Macaca mulatta: one gene and its partners. The protein of the gene in region 2 interacts with the protein of the main gene of each other region in a pairwise test. Links are inferred from orthologs where the notes say so. Each region holds a gene or a part of one and is shown on either strand. Other genes may lie near its edges.

What was found.
Region 1: the proteins of GOLGA2 (region 2) and NDN interact in a two-hybrid assay, tested with the Homo sapiens proteins (2 studies listed by BioGRID and IntAct). The link is inferred for Macaca mulatta from reciprocal best matches to the Homo sapiens genes GOLGA2 and NDN.
Region 3: the proteins of GOLGA2 (region 2) and C1H1orf35 interact in binary tests that used the Homo sapiens proteins (3 or more experiments, as listed by UniProt). The two-hybrid records come from large-scale screens. The link is inferred for Macaca mulatta from reciprocal best matches to the Homo sapiens genes GOLGA2 and C1orf35.

The regions. Positions count from the first base shown.
Region 1 is NC_133412.1:6,264,582-6,268,227, reverse strand, and holds NDN (necdin), read right to left. Parts: upstream 2,428-3,646; 5' UTR 2,314-2,427; coding exon 1,348-2,313; 3' UTR 507-1,347; downstream 1-506. UniProt on the Homo sapiens protein: Growth suppressor that facilitates the entry of the cell into cell cycle arrest.
Region 2 is NC_133420.1:19,418,369-19,421,880, forward strand, and holds part of GOLGA2 (golgin subfamily A member 2), read left to right. Parts: intron 1-1,128; coding exon 1,129-1,233; intron 1,234-1,490; coding exon 1,491-1,534; intron 1,535-1,653; coding exon 1,654-1,717; intron 1,718-2,136; coding exon 2,137-2,196; intron 2,197-2,379; coding exon 2,380-2,460; intron 2,461-3,328; coding exon 3,329-3,367; intron 3,368-3,512. UniProt on the Homo sapiens protein: Peripheral membrane component of the cis-Golgi stack that acts as a membrane skeleton that maintains the structure of the Golgi apparatus, and as a vesicle thether that facilitates vesicle fusion to the Golgi membrane.
Region 3 is NC_133406.1:85,852,802-85,856,909, reverse strand, and holds C1H1orf35 (multiple myeloma tumor-associated protein 2), read left to right. Parts: upstream 1-1,302; 5' UTR 1,303-1,397; coding exon 1,398-1,491; intron 1,492-1,571; coding exon 1,572-1,722; intron 1,723-1,932; coding exon 1,933-1,978; intron 1,979-2,060; coding exon 2,061-2,143; intron 2,144-2,228; coding exon 2,229-2,301; intron 2,302-2,445; coding exon 2,446-2,531; intron 2,532-3,134; coding exon 3,135-3,269; intron 3,270-3,349; coding exon 3,350-3,470; 3' UTR 3,471-3,790; downstream 3,791-4,108.

The sequences.
Region 1 (3,646 bases), on a different chromosome or scaffold from region 2:
TATCACTTTATTAGGTTAATTAATCTCTCCAAAAGTAAGTTTCTTAATTTGCAGAATCAGAATGATATTGCTTTCTCCAAAATATCCTAAGAATTAGAAAAATAAAATTCCTAGCCTTTTTGTATGTGTGGCCCATGAACCCATGTGAGTGTGGGCTCCCACATGAAATTTCAATATAAAGTTAAAAATAAATAACCTAAAAACCACAGGGTGTAGGGGAGTTGAAGGCAGGTGGGGACAAATGTGGACTCTGGATTCATTGTGAGTTCTAGTCCTAGCGCCTTCTCTTATTAACCTGTATGAGCTATGGAAAGTCCATTACCTACATTATTCCTGTGTTTCCTCCATGGTGCAGAGGCAGTTCTTGCCTGCCTGACAGGCCTGTTGTGAGGATTAGATAAAAGGAGAAAAATACACGTCAGGGCTCATGTACAATGTCTCACTCTTTAAGTGCCCACAAAGCATCTATTAATTTTGATAAAATGTAGAAACTTAAGGGAAGGAAATTATTTTTGGTTTTTATTCCCATAGGATGTGATTATGGACAATCTTACTGTTTTGTTTTTTATGCTTTTCTATATTTGTGCATGTTTTTGAAATAAACATGAGTTAAAGACAAAACTACAAACTTCACAAATTTAGGAGTAATCATGAGTAGCGATTTTTCCCACCCCATTAGGGGAAATAGTTATATCTGTGTATACTGTAAAACAGAGAATTGTCTCATTCCCAACCATACTGCTTTGTTAAAATGATAACGTACACTTCCAGAAATGATTGTATCACAAGAATCTTTAATGTTTACTTTAAAGTTGACTCACGGTGGGGTTGTATATGTGTTTAGTAAAGTGTGCCAAGTGCTCTCACATTGAGACCAGTCCAGTTCAAATTAGTTTACTCCACGAGGATGTTTTCAGTCCCCAGCAAGGTCATGAGGGCCTTGACATTTCTTGGTTAGGCCGGCTTTGCTGGTGAGTTTTTCCAAACTCTGCAGGAGCAGTCTACCCCAACACACATCTCAGTCCCATGTAAATTAATAAGATGGAAACGTTCTCAATGTACTTCATCAGTTTAGCACGTCTCTGATACAAAAATCCAAGAAAGGTACCACAAAAGCGAAAGCACCAACCAAGCTTACATATAAACAAACATGCATACATCCTAAATACTACACAATAGTACCCAAATGAACACAACATTGCATTAAAGGTATAAAAGCACTGTACTGAAAACGTAAAAGTTACACGTGAATACTGCACTGTAAATCCTGAACACTCTAATGACCCACCCCCACCCTTCCACAGCCCTGGTGAGGATCAGAAAGCATTCATCTGCCTCCAGACTTGGCTAGTCCTCGGAGACACTGCTGCGAGGGCAGTGGGCAGCGGGATTAGCCTCCCGCAGAGCTCTGGCCTCCTCCAGAGCCTCTCTGTATCGGGAGGGCCAGGCCTGGGGGTCTTTCTTAAAGACCCTGGCCAGGAACTCCATGATTTGCAGCTTGGTGATTTCGCGGCTGGCCCGGGAGCCCCAGAAGAACTCGTACTCGGGCGGCTCCACGTACGGGACGCGCTGGTACTTCAGGTAATTCTGCTGGACGAACTCCTCAGTGATGAGCTTCCGCACGTCCCCGAAGGTGGAGTGCTTCTTCCAGGGCCGCAGCCCCAGGATGCGGAGCACGTTCCAGACCGCGCTCTCTCTGGCGCCGCGGCCCTTCACGTAGATGAGGCTCAGGATCATGAGGAGGAGACCTGTCATGGGCATGCGGTTGCTCAGCGCCACCCTGTCCAGCTCCTCGGGCTCCAGCGCTTTGACCAGCGCAAACTCCATGGTGTGCAGGCTGGTTAGCCTCAGGTGCAGCCCGAACACCCGGGCGAGGATGAGGCTGGTGCGCCGGAGGATGCTCCTGCACCACTTCTTGTAGCTGCCGATGACATCTTTCACCATGTCTGGAAACCAGATGATCATCTTCTTCTGGTCCTTGACCAGCACGTACCACATGAGCTCGTGCGCCTTCTGCACCAGCTGCGCCGGGGCTGGCGGGGCCGGGCCGGGCTGGGCCGCGCTCGGGGCCTGGTGGGCGCGGCCCTCCTCCGCGGCCTGCTGCAGGGCCTTCGGGTCGTCCTCGTCGCTCGGGGCCTGGGGAGGCTGCGCGGCCTGCGGGGCGGCCGTCGGGCCTAAAGGAGGGCTCTGCGGCTCTGCCAGGGTCTCGGACGGAGGAACCCCCTCCGGAACCCCAGGGCTGCTGTGCACCTCGGAGCTGGGGGCCTCGGCTGCAAAGTTAGGGTCGCTTAGATCCTTACTTTGTTCTGACATATCTGCGCCGTCTGGCAAGGGCAGGGCCTCTGCGTCCAGGAGCTCTTCAAGCCTGCGCTCCCTCCGCGGATTCCTGGAGAGGAAGTGCGCGTTGCTGTGCGCGGCGCCTTCCGCAGCGGCGGGCAGGGCGGGGCGGCGGCGGGACGCGGCACTGCGCCTGCGCGACTGCGGCCTTGGCCAGCGGCTGGGGGCGGGCGGGGCAGCGCGGAGCCCCGACGGGGAGGGTCCCTGGCTAAGCTTCACCTGCGGAGAGAGCGATCCCGGGGTTTCCCGTTTGGGCTGAGGGGATCTAGGGCAGGAGAAGAGTGCGATGGATGCGTACTGGAGAAGGGGCCAGTTTAGGAGAAAGATGATAACTTAAGTTTTTGGGATGTTGGGGTCAAGTTTCTTGGGAAACGCTTACCTGATATATCCAGAATTAAGTTAAATATGAGCGTCCCAGAGAAAGGTCTGGGCGGCTGTGTAAACTTGAGCTTTATGCGAACGAGTGAGAGGAACAGTCGGGCTTGTCCAAGAAAATGTGTAAAGTGTATGTCTGAAGTTGGAATCCTGAGAAATTCCAATAAAAAAATGATTGACTCCCTCCCTACCAAATCAGAGGGGTTGTAAGAAAAGGAGAAATGCAGCGTGTCCTTAACGTAATTTCCTGTCAACCCATGTGAACTATGAACCTTTTAAGTAGGCAGCGGACTTAGAGCATCATTAATGCTTTAGTGGGCATAAATTTGAGTTTTACATTTCCTTTGGGTCACTTTGATTCCATTTTATTTTTTTCCATACTTAGTCCACAGCAGAAGGATTGCTATATCTTTTAGCACAAACTTGTATAATAATGTCTTTTTCCCTCTGCCCAGCACCCTTATTCTCCGATTCACCTTCTCCCAGGACCCTCTCTGAAGCTACTGAGTCCTCCACGTTGGAAGCCACACCCAAGTCCTTCCTGAGATTTAAAAAAAAACAACTAGGTCTCATAGGTAATATCTGGTAGTGTCTCTGAGATGACCCAAGGGTAGCAGGGGCAACATGGGTAACCCTGTTTTCTAAGTATAGAAGACAGATTCCCACTGGGCAAAGACAAAACTCGCTCCTACAGGGTCTCCCTGAAAAAAGGGTCATTGGTGGAGCCTCTGAAACCAAGGGCCTTGATGCTGCTTCAGCATCCTTGGTCTGGGCTGATGTGGTCCTTCAGCGCTTCCAGCGTTTCTTCTCATCAGTAGCTTCTTAAATATGTTGAGTCTAATTATTGCCACTCGAAGCCAAAAGCACATTTAAAAATTGTCTTAACATGTCTAGAGTCCTCGCTGTGAGTATGTATCTTTTCCCACTTGTCACT
Region 2 (3,512 bases):
TATTAGAAGACCTCTAGAACCAGAGGCTTGGGTCAAGAGTAAGGCCAGAGCCTCGAGAGAGGCCGGGTGGGGCTCTGATCAAGCAGGTAGGTCCAGTTGGGGGCGAGGGAGAGGCTCCATGTGACCCCAAGTTCTGAATCCTAGGATTGTCCCCAGGTACAATTCCCAGGAAAGAGGCCCCATAACTTCCAAGTTGCCAGGAGCCATAGGGCAGATGTCTTACCTCTGTTTTCTTGGGTGGTTTCTTGGTTGGGTAGATGTTTTTGGAGGTAAGAGGTTGGGGTGGGGGTGGTAGCCATGGTTTATTCTCCTTTTACCTCCAGATAGTTGGGGAGAGGCTTCTAGTTGGGTAATTTTTTTTTTTTTTCCTGGAAAGGTCTGAATCAGAAACACAGCCAATAGGCCAGGTTCAATGGCTCACACTTGTAATCTCAACACTTTGGGAGACCAAGGTGGGAGGATCACTTGAGCCCAGGACTTTGAGACCAGCCTGGGCAAGATGGCGAGACCACATCTCTATAAAAATTAGCTGAGCATGGTGGTGTGCTCCTGTAATCTCCGCTACTAGGGAGGCTGAGGTGGGAGCATTGCTTGAGCCCAGGAGGTGGAAGCTGCAGTGAGCTATGATTGTGCCACTGCAGGGGAGAAGGGAAGGGAGGAAAGGAGGAGAGAAGCAGGCAGATAGCTACATTGCCCAGACAACTACTTCCTCATCACCATCCTCTGCCCACTAGGGGCCCAGTTAGGGTCACTCTGCAGCACAGACTGGCCTTCTGGAAGAACAGTGCCTTTCTCCTCCCTGACTTTGGCACACCTTCCTCCCACCTGCTGTGGCTGCCACAGGTCAGTGCCTGCTGCTGTCTTTTGCTGAGCTCCAGAGAGAGCGAGGTCCTCGTGTTCATGAAGGAGGCCGTGCAGCCCCTGCTTTGAGCTTTGGCCATCTGAAATGCTGCCTAGCAGCCCAAGGCCTGGGCAACCATATCCACACCCCTGAGTGGCTCCTAGCATGTGTGACTGTCACTGACTGCAGCAACACCTGTCCTACCTGTTCCACACCCTTGTGTTCATGGCACTGAGGCACCTTCTATCCCGCATGGCCCCCTAACCCCCTGCTCTGTTCTGTGACAGACACCCAAGGACAATGCTGATTCTCTACAACCGTCTGATGACACTGTGTTACCTGGCGGTGTCCCTTCCCCTGGTGCCAGTCTCACTAGCATGGCGGTATCTCAGGTTTGTGCCTCCTCCCCCTCTGCCTACTCCCCTCCTGTACCTACTATGGATTATCTTCTCTTTTCACAGGTAGCTTGTTCCCTAGGGCCAAGGGCTCTTCCTGGGGAATGGGCTGGGGGAAGGCTCAGACTAGGCTTTTTCTTGAGGTCTGGGGATATGGAAGATTGTTGGAATGAGTTTGGGAGCTTGACTCACCCTGTCCTGGGTGATTCTTAGCAGACATTGAATGACCATCTCATACGTTTCTTCCCACACAGAATCATGATGCTGACAATGTCCCTAATCTCATGGATGAAACTAAGTGAGTGTCTCCTGTTGGGGCAGCAGTCTCTAGGCCGAGAGAGTCAGGGAGGCCACTGCCCATGACCTTCTTTCCCATTGAGCCACCTGCACCCCTGACCCCTGTGTCTCCATCCCTAGGACTTTCTCATCAACCGAGAGCCTGCGACAACTCTCCCAACAGCTCAATGGTCTTGTTTGTGAGGTACCTCAGGAATTGAGGCCCAGAGTGGGGTGCGGGGGGAAGGGAACTATGATAGAAAGAAACTGAGGCAGGGATTCACAAGAGAGGGAAGATCCTGGACCAGCCAATGTGCTGGGCAATGTTGAGGAAGTCGGCTTTTCCCTGAGCTTTCTCCCTTGAAGTTGTGCACATGAAGGAGTTGGACCCTGTGACTGGTTGCATCATTTTATCCTGCTGCAGAAGCACTGGATGAGAGGTGCTCGGGAGGGAAGGATGGTGGGGAAATAAGAACCATGAGAGAAGTTGGCACAAAGGGGTTACGGGACAAAGGGTCCAAGTTAGAAGAGAAAATGTTGCCAATTGCTGGGGAAGAAAGGAAGTCAGAGGGCTTAGACACTGAGGGGACAGAACATCTCCATGTGCACTCTCGTCTCTTATAGTCTACGACATGTGTGAATGGGGAGGGCCCTGCATCATCTGCTAACCTGAAGGATCTGGAGGTAAGAGGCCCTGGGCCGTGGCCCAGTGACCCTGCAGGCCAGCCCTCCAACCTCCTCCCATAGCGGGGGCTGGGTGCCCCTCTGCCAGCTGAGACAGCCCACACACCCCCCAACCCTAATGATTGCTCTCTCTACCTCTCCCCCCAATCCTCCTCCAACTCCTCCTCTCTGCATGCGCCTCAGAGCCGGTACCAACAGCTAGCGGTAGCCCTGGACTCCAGCTATGTAACAAACAAACAACTCAATATCACGATAGAGAAATTGGTAAGAGTCCAGTGGGGTCCCCTGATTCCACGCTGCTAATCCTGGGCTCCAGTTTCCCCTTGGGACCCTGAAGAAAGGGGCAGGGGGCCCCTGGTGCCAAGGGCGAATGGGGAGCTGGGGGGCCCAGGCCTCAGCTGGAGGGACCCCAGAGCACGGAGCATGCAGCATGGCTCTTCTGTTGCTGCCCTCTTTGCCTACTCTCTCTTCTCTAGACACCCCTGCTCGAGTCCTTGCCACACATGCCCTGGGATTGTTGCCTCTTGGGGAAGCACTAGCCTGACTGGTTGTCAGGAGCCCCGTATTTCCACCCTGACTCAGTCCTTAATTTGCTCTTGGATTCGGGACAAGCCACCTCTCCTTCTTGGGCTTGCATTTCCTGAGGAGGTAGAGTTAGAGAGTATCAAAGGTCTCTTAGCTCTGAGCGTTGAAGATTTAAAGGCCCACTAGAATGTAAACCTCAGGGCCAAGGGCTCCTGTCTGTCTTTTTCTGTCTGATATCCCTGCTATTAAGAACTGTACCTGGCCTATATGTGCTCAGCAAATGTTTGTTGAATGAATACACCTTTCTAAATCACAAACTGGCAGAGGGTGGGCTTTTCTCACACTCCATCTCTAGAGGTTTATGTTACTGTCCTTTCAAGAGAATCCAGATTCAGACTTTCAGTTCTGTGGTTGTGGGCAAAAACCAACAAAGACACAAATCCCCTTTCCTTGGGAGCCTGAGGAGAGTTGAGCAGTTCGTGTTCCCATTGGGTCTGAGAACTTTGCCTTTAAAATCCATTCCTGGCTCCTGCCTACCCCTTCCTGGTCTGGGGAATAGGGTTGAGGGGGCCACCCTCAGTCACCTTCCTTTGACTCTTCCCCACAGAAACAACAGAACCAAGAAATTACGGATCAGTTGGAAGAAGTAACGTGATTTCTTTGTTTGCTCACAACATGACAGCTGGGTTTGGGGGGCACTCAAATGTAGAGGCCTCAGTCTCGTCTCACCCGCTCCCAGCCTGGGGAAGAAGGCTCACCCCCCAAGATTCCACCCCATCCCCACAGGGTCC
Region 3 (4,108 bases), on a different chromosome or scaffold from region 2:
GAGAAATGAATGTTCTCTCTAGGTATGTCCATGGGGAGGGGGTTGTCGAATGGAGTTTATATGAGGGTTTAAGGAATCTGGCTCAGGCTGGGTCCAGTTTCTTTCTGTGTTTTGAGCAACAACCTAGATGCTGTCATCTGTGCCTGGGAACGTTCATGGCTATGGCTCAGGTTCAAGTCTGCAGACGAAATTATACCGTTGGCGAGGTCACAGAGCGGCTAAGGGACTCTGCTTCTTGGTCACCACTGGGAATGAAAGTGGAAAGGTGAAGCAGGGGGATGCCACAACCTCCAAAATCAGGGTGCCCATCATGCTGAGGTTCTGGGAAGGGGTCTCTTCCAGACTACAGACTTCCCGCTGCCTTCGCACAGTGGAAAGCTGCACAAAGCTCTCGGGTCTCTTTTATGAAGGCTCTGTCGTCATGACCTAGTCACCTCCGAAGCACCAACGCCTTGGGTTGGGGATTTCACGTGGGAGTTAGGGTGCACATTCAGTTTACCACGGCAAGGATGGGACCAGTGCTCTGAGGGTGTCTGGGTAGCTGCTGGTTCATCCAGAAGTTTACTGGGTAATACTCAGAAATTCCACAAATCATTAGGGCATTACCTTGTTAAGCTCCCCATATGGAATCGCGGCTGGCAGTGACCAATTGGCGGTGTTAGCTAGGCGCATCCTGTGTGTTTTCTTTTTTTATGAGACAGGGTCTCGTTCACTCGCTCAGGTTGGAGCGCAGTGGCGCGATCTCCTGGGCTCAAGAGATCCTCCCGCCTCAGCCTCAAAGCGTTGGGACTACAGGCGCGCAAGCAAGCGCGCGCCCGGCCCATTTTAACTTTTTTTTTTTTTGAGACAGAGTCTCGCTCTGTCGCCCAGGCTGGAGTGCAGTGGCGCGATCTCGGCTCACTGCAACCCCGCCTCCCGGTTCAAGTAATTCTCCTGCCTCAGCCTCCTGGGTAGCTGGGATTACAAGTGTGCACCACCACACCCGGCTAATTTTTGTATTTTAGTAGAGACGGGGTTTCACCATGTTGGCTAGGCTAGTCTGGAATTCCCGACCTCAAGCGATCCGCCTGCCTGGGCCTCCCAAAGTGCTGCGGGAGCCACAGCGCCCAGGCCGGTTTTAACCATTTTTAAACGTACAGTTCAGAGGCGTTCCCGCGCTGGGCAGGATAGGCGCAGTGCGCAGGCGCCCAAAGCCTGCTTGAAGGTGACGCGCGGGAGCACAGAGCCGGGGCGGTGCGCTGCGCAGGCGCGCGGGGCGAAGCCGGGTGGGCGCCGGGTGACGTCACGGCGCGCGACGCGAAGGCGGGGTCGGGCCTGGGTCCTACGGTAGTGGGTACAGAGGGTCCGGGGTTGCGGGTCGCAGGCCGCAGGCCCCAGGGAACTGCCTCCCGGGCGCCATGTTCGGTTCCAGTCGCGGAGGCGTGCGCGGCGGGCAGGACCAGTTCAACTGGGAGGACGTGAAGACTGACAAGCAGCGGGAGAACTACCTGGGTCCGTGGGCGCGGTGGGCGCGGTGGGCGCGGCGGGCGGCCTCCCGGGGGGCGCTGGGCTCACGGCGCCTACGTCCGCAGGCAACTCGCTGATGGCGCCCGTAGGCCGCTGGCAGAAGGGCCGCGACCTCACCTGGTACGCCAAGGGCCGGGCGCCGTGCGCGGGCCCGAGCCGCGAGGAGGAACTGGCAGCAGTGCGGGAGGCGGAGCGGGAGGCGCTGCTGGCCGCCCTGTGAGTGTCCGCGGACATCAGCGGTCGGTGCTTGGGACTTCGCTGCCGGGGCAGGGTGGGGCCAGGGGCGGGGGCTGGGGGTCGGGCTGGGCGGGGGCGGGGCTGCGGGGACTTGCGCGGGTGGGACCCTCAGGATGAAGGCTGGAGTGGTGAGGACCCGTGGTGGGAGGAGGTCTGTCCGTCCTGACGCCTGCTCTGGTCCTCTCGCAGTGGCTACAAGAACGTGAAGAAGCAGCCCACGGGCCTGAGCAAGGAGGTAACTCCCTGGAGTGGGGGGCACGTGGAGGGCCGTGGGTGTGGGGCCGTCCGGAACGCTGCCTGTGCTCCCGCACCTGCAGGATTTCGCGGAGGTCTGCAAGCGGGAAGGAGGCGACCCGGAGGAGAAGGGCGTGGACCGGCTGCTGGGGCTGGGGAGCGCCAGGTGCGAGCAGGTTTCCAGGGGAGGGCAGAATTGCTCGGGTGAGGCGGGCCCTTGACGGACTGTCTTCATCGCCGTGTTCCTGCAGTGGCTCCGTGGGCCGCGTGGCGATGTCCCGAGAGGACAAGGAAGCCGCCAAACTGGGGCTGTCTGTGTTCACGGTAATTCCCCGCCCCGCCTGACCGCAACAGGGGCCAACAGGGGTGGCGCAGGGCGGGGGCACTGAACGTAGCTCCCCGGGGCGCTGCGGGGCGTGGTGTGGGGCCGGCCCTCAGACTCTTCCCCAGAGCGCGATTCTCCCGCAGCATCACCGCGTAGAGAGCGGCGGGCCCGGGACCTCGGCAACCTCGGCCAGGAGGAAGCCGCGGGCGGAGGATCAGACGGAAAGCAGGTGAGGCTGCACCTACTGGGCGAGCTGCGCGCCGGAGGGGGTCTCGGGAGGACCTCAGCGGCTCCCGCTCCGGCAGGTGGCAGCTTCTCTTGGCGCACCGGCCCGGCCGGTGGCCTGCCCTACTTTACTTCCTGTCCCACTTACTCCTAGGTTTTTCTCTAGGGGAGTTTCTCGGGTCACCCTTGAAGAGAGGTCCTAAGTACTGGCAGTGGTCGCGGGCTGCGCCGTGGGAGGGCGCTCAGGACCTGCGGCGGGGCCTTTTCCTTCCATGGGTGGCACCTCCAGGGCTTCTCTTGGGTGGTGAGCCTGGGCCTGACCCCAAGAGTGGCCTGGTGGGTGCAAGTAGGAAGGTGTCAACCTGTCAAGGGCACAGCTGGGGTGTAACAGGGCCGTGCTGTGGAGATAGGGATATCGCATCAGTTTCTAACCCAGGGCAGCCACTGGCCACGTGACTGCATTACTGAGGAGTGGAATTGGTAGTCTGATTTAACTGATTTAAAGACGCACTTGTGGGTGGTGGCTTCATCTCCTGGTTGGGGTCTGTGTTCACTCTCTTGGCCTGCAAGACTAGGGTCTGAGGTGCGCCTTGTATCCTCCTTGTAGCTCTGAGAGCCACAGGAAAAGCAAGAAGGAGAAGAAGAAAAAGAAAAAGAAGAAACACAAGAAAGAGAAGAAGAAGAAAGACAAAGAGCACAGGCAGCCAGCTGAGGCTGCCTCCTCTCCCACATCTCCCGAGAGGTATGCCCTGGTCTGTGTCTGCCTCTTGTGGGTGGGAGCCTGGTTGACTCCTTCTGAGTGACTGCCCTTGGTCTCCCCAGGCCCAGGCACCACCACGACTCCTATTCCAACTCCCCCTGTTGTAAGAGGAGGAAGCGGGGACACAGTGGGGACAGGAGAAGTCCGTCTCGCAGGTGGCATGACAGAGGCTCTGAGGCCTGATGGCTGGACCCTGCTCACTGCTATTGTGGGACCCTGAACTCTCCCTTTGCCTTGCTTGCCTCCTGCCTCGGAAGCCCCTCGTGTGTGGGTGAAGCCCGGGGCTGCTCCTGTGGAAGTGGCTCTGGGCACCAGCCTGTGGGGCTAATGGCTAGACAGCTAGCTCTGGAAAACCTCCAGGTTTCACATAGCGGGGATGGTCCCTGGCTTGCCCTGTGAAGGTGAACCTGCCCAGAGGTACCAGTAGAAGCTGGACTCCCTCTGCCAGTAGAGACAGCAGCCATGGGCCTATGAGCGGTCTAACTGTGGCCAAGTATGGTGACCTCTATTTTTCCTTACATTGACTCTTTGTATTTCAATAAATATATTTTAAAAGGAAGGTGTATCATCCTAATTGGAAGGTCAGTGTCGAGTTAAATGAGATCCCACTGGGAGGTTGGAGCTGGGGTCTGTCTTCCAGGAGTCTGAGGCCTGGTGATTTTTTTTTTTTTTTTAGTTTCGCTTTTGTTTCCCAGGCTGGAGTGTAATGGCACTATCTCAGCTCACTGCAACCTCTGCCTCCCAGGTTCAAGCGATTCTCCTGTCAACCTCCTGAGTAGCTGGAATTACAGGCGCCTGCCACTACTCCCAGCTAATTTTTG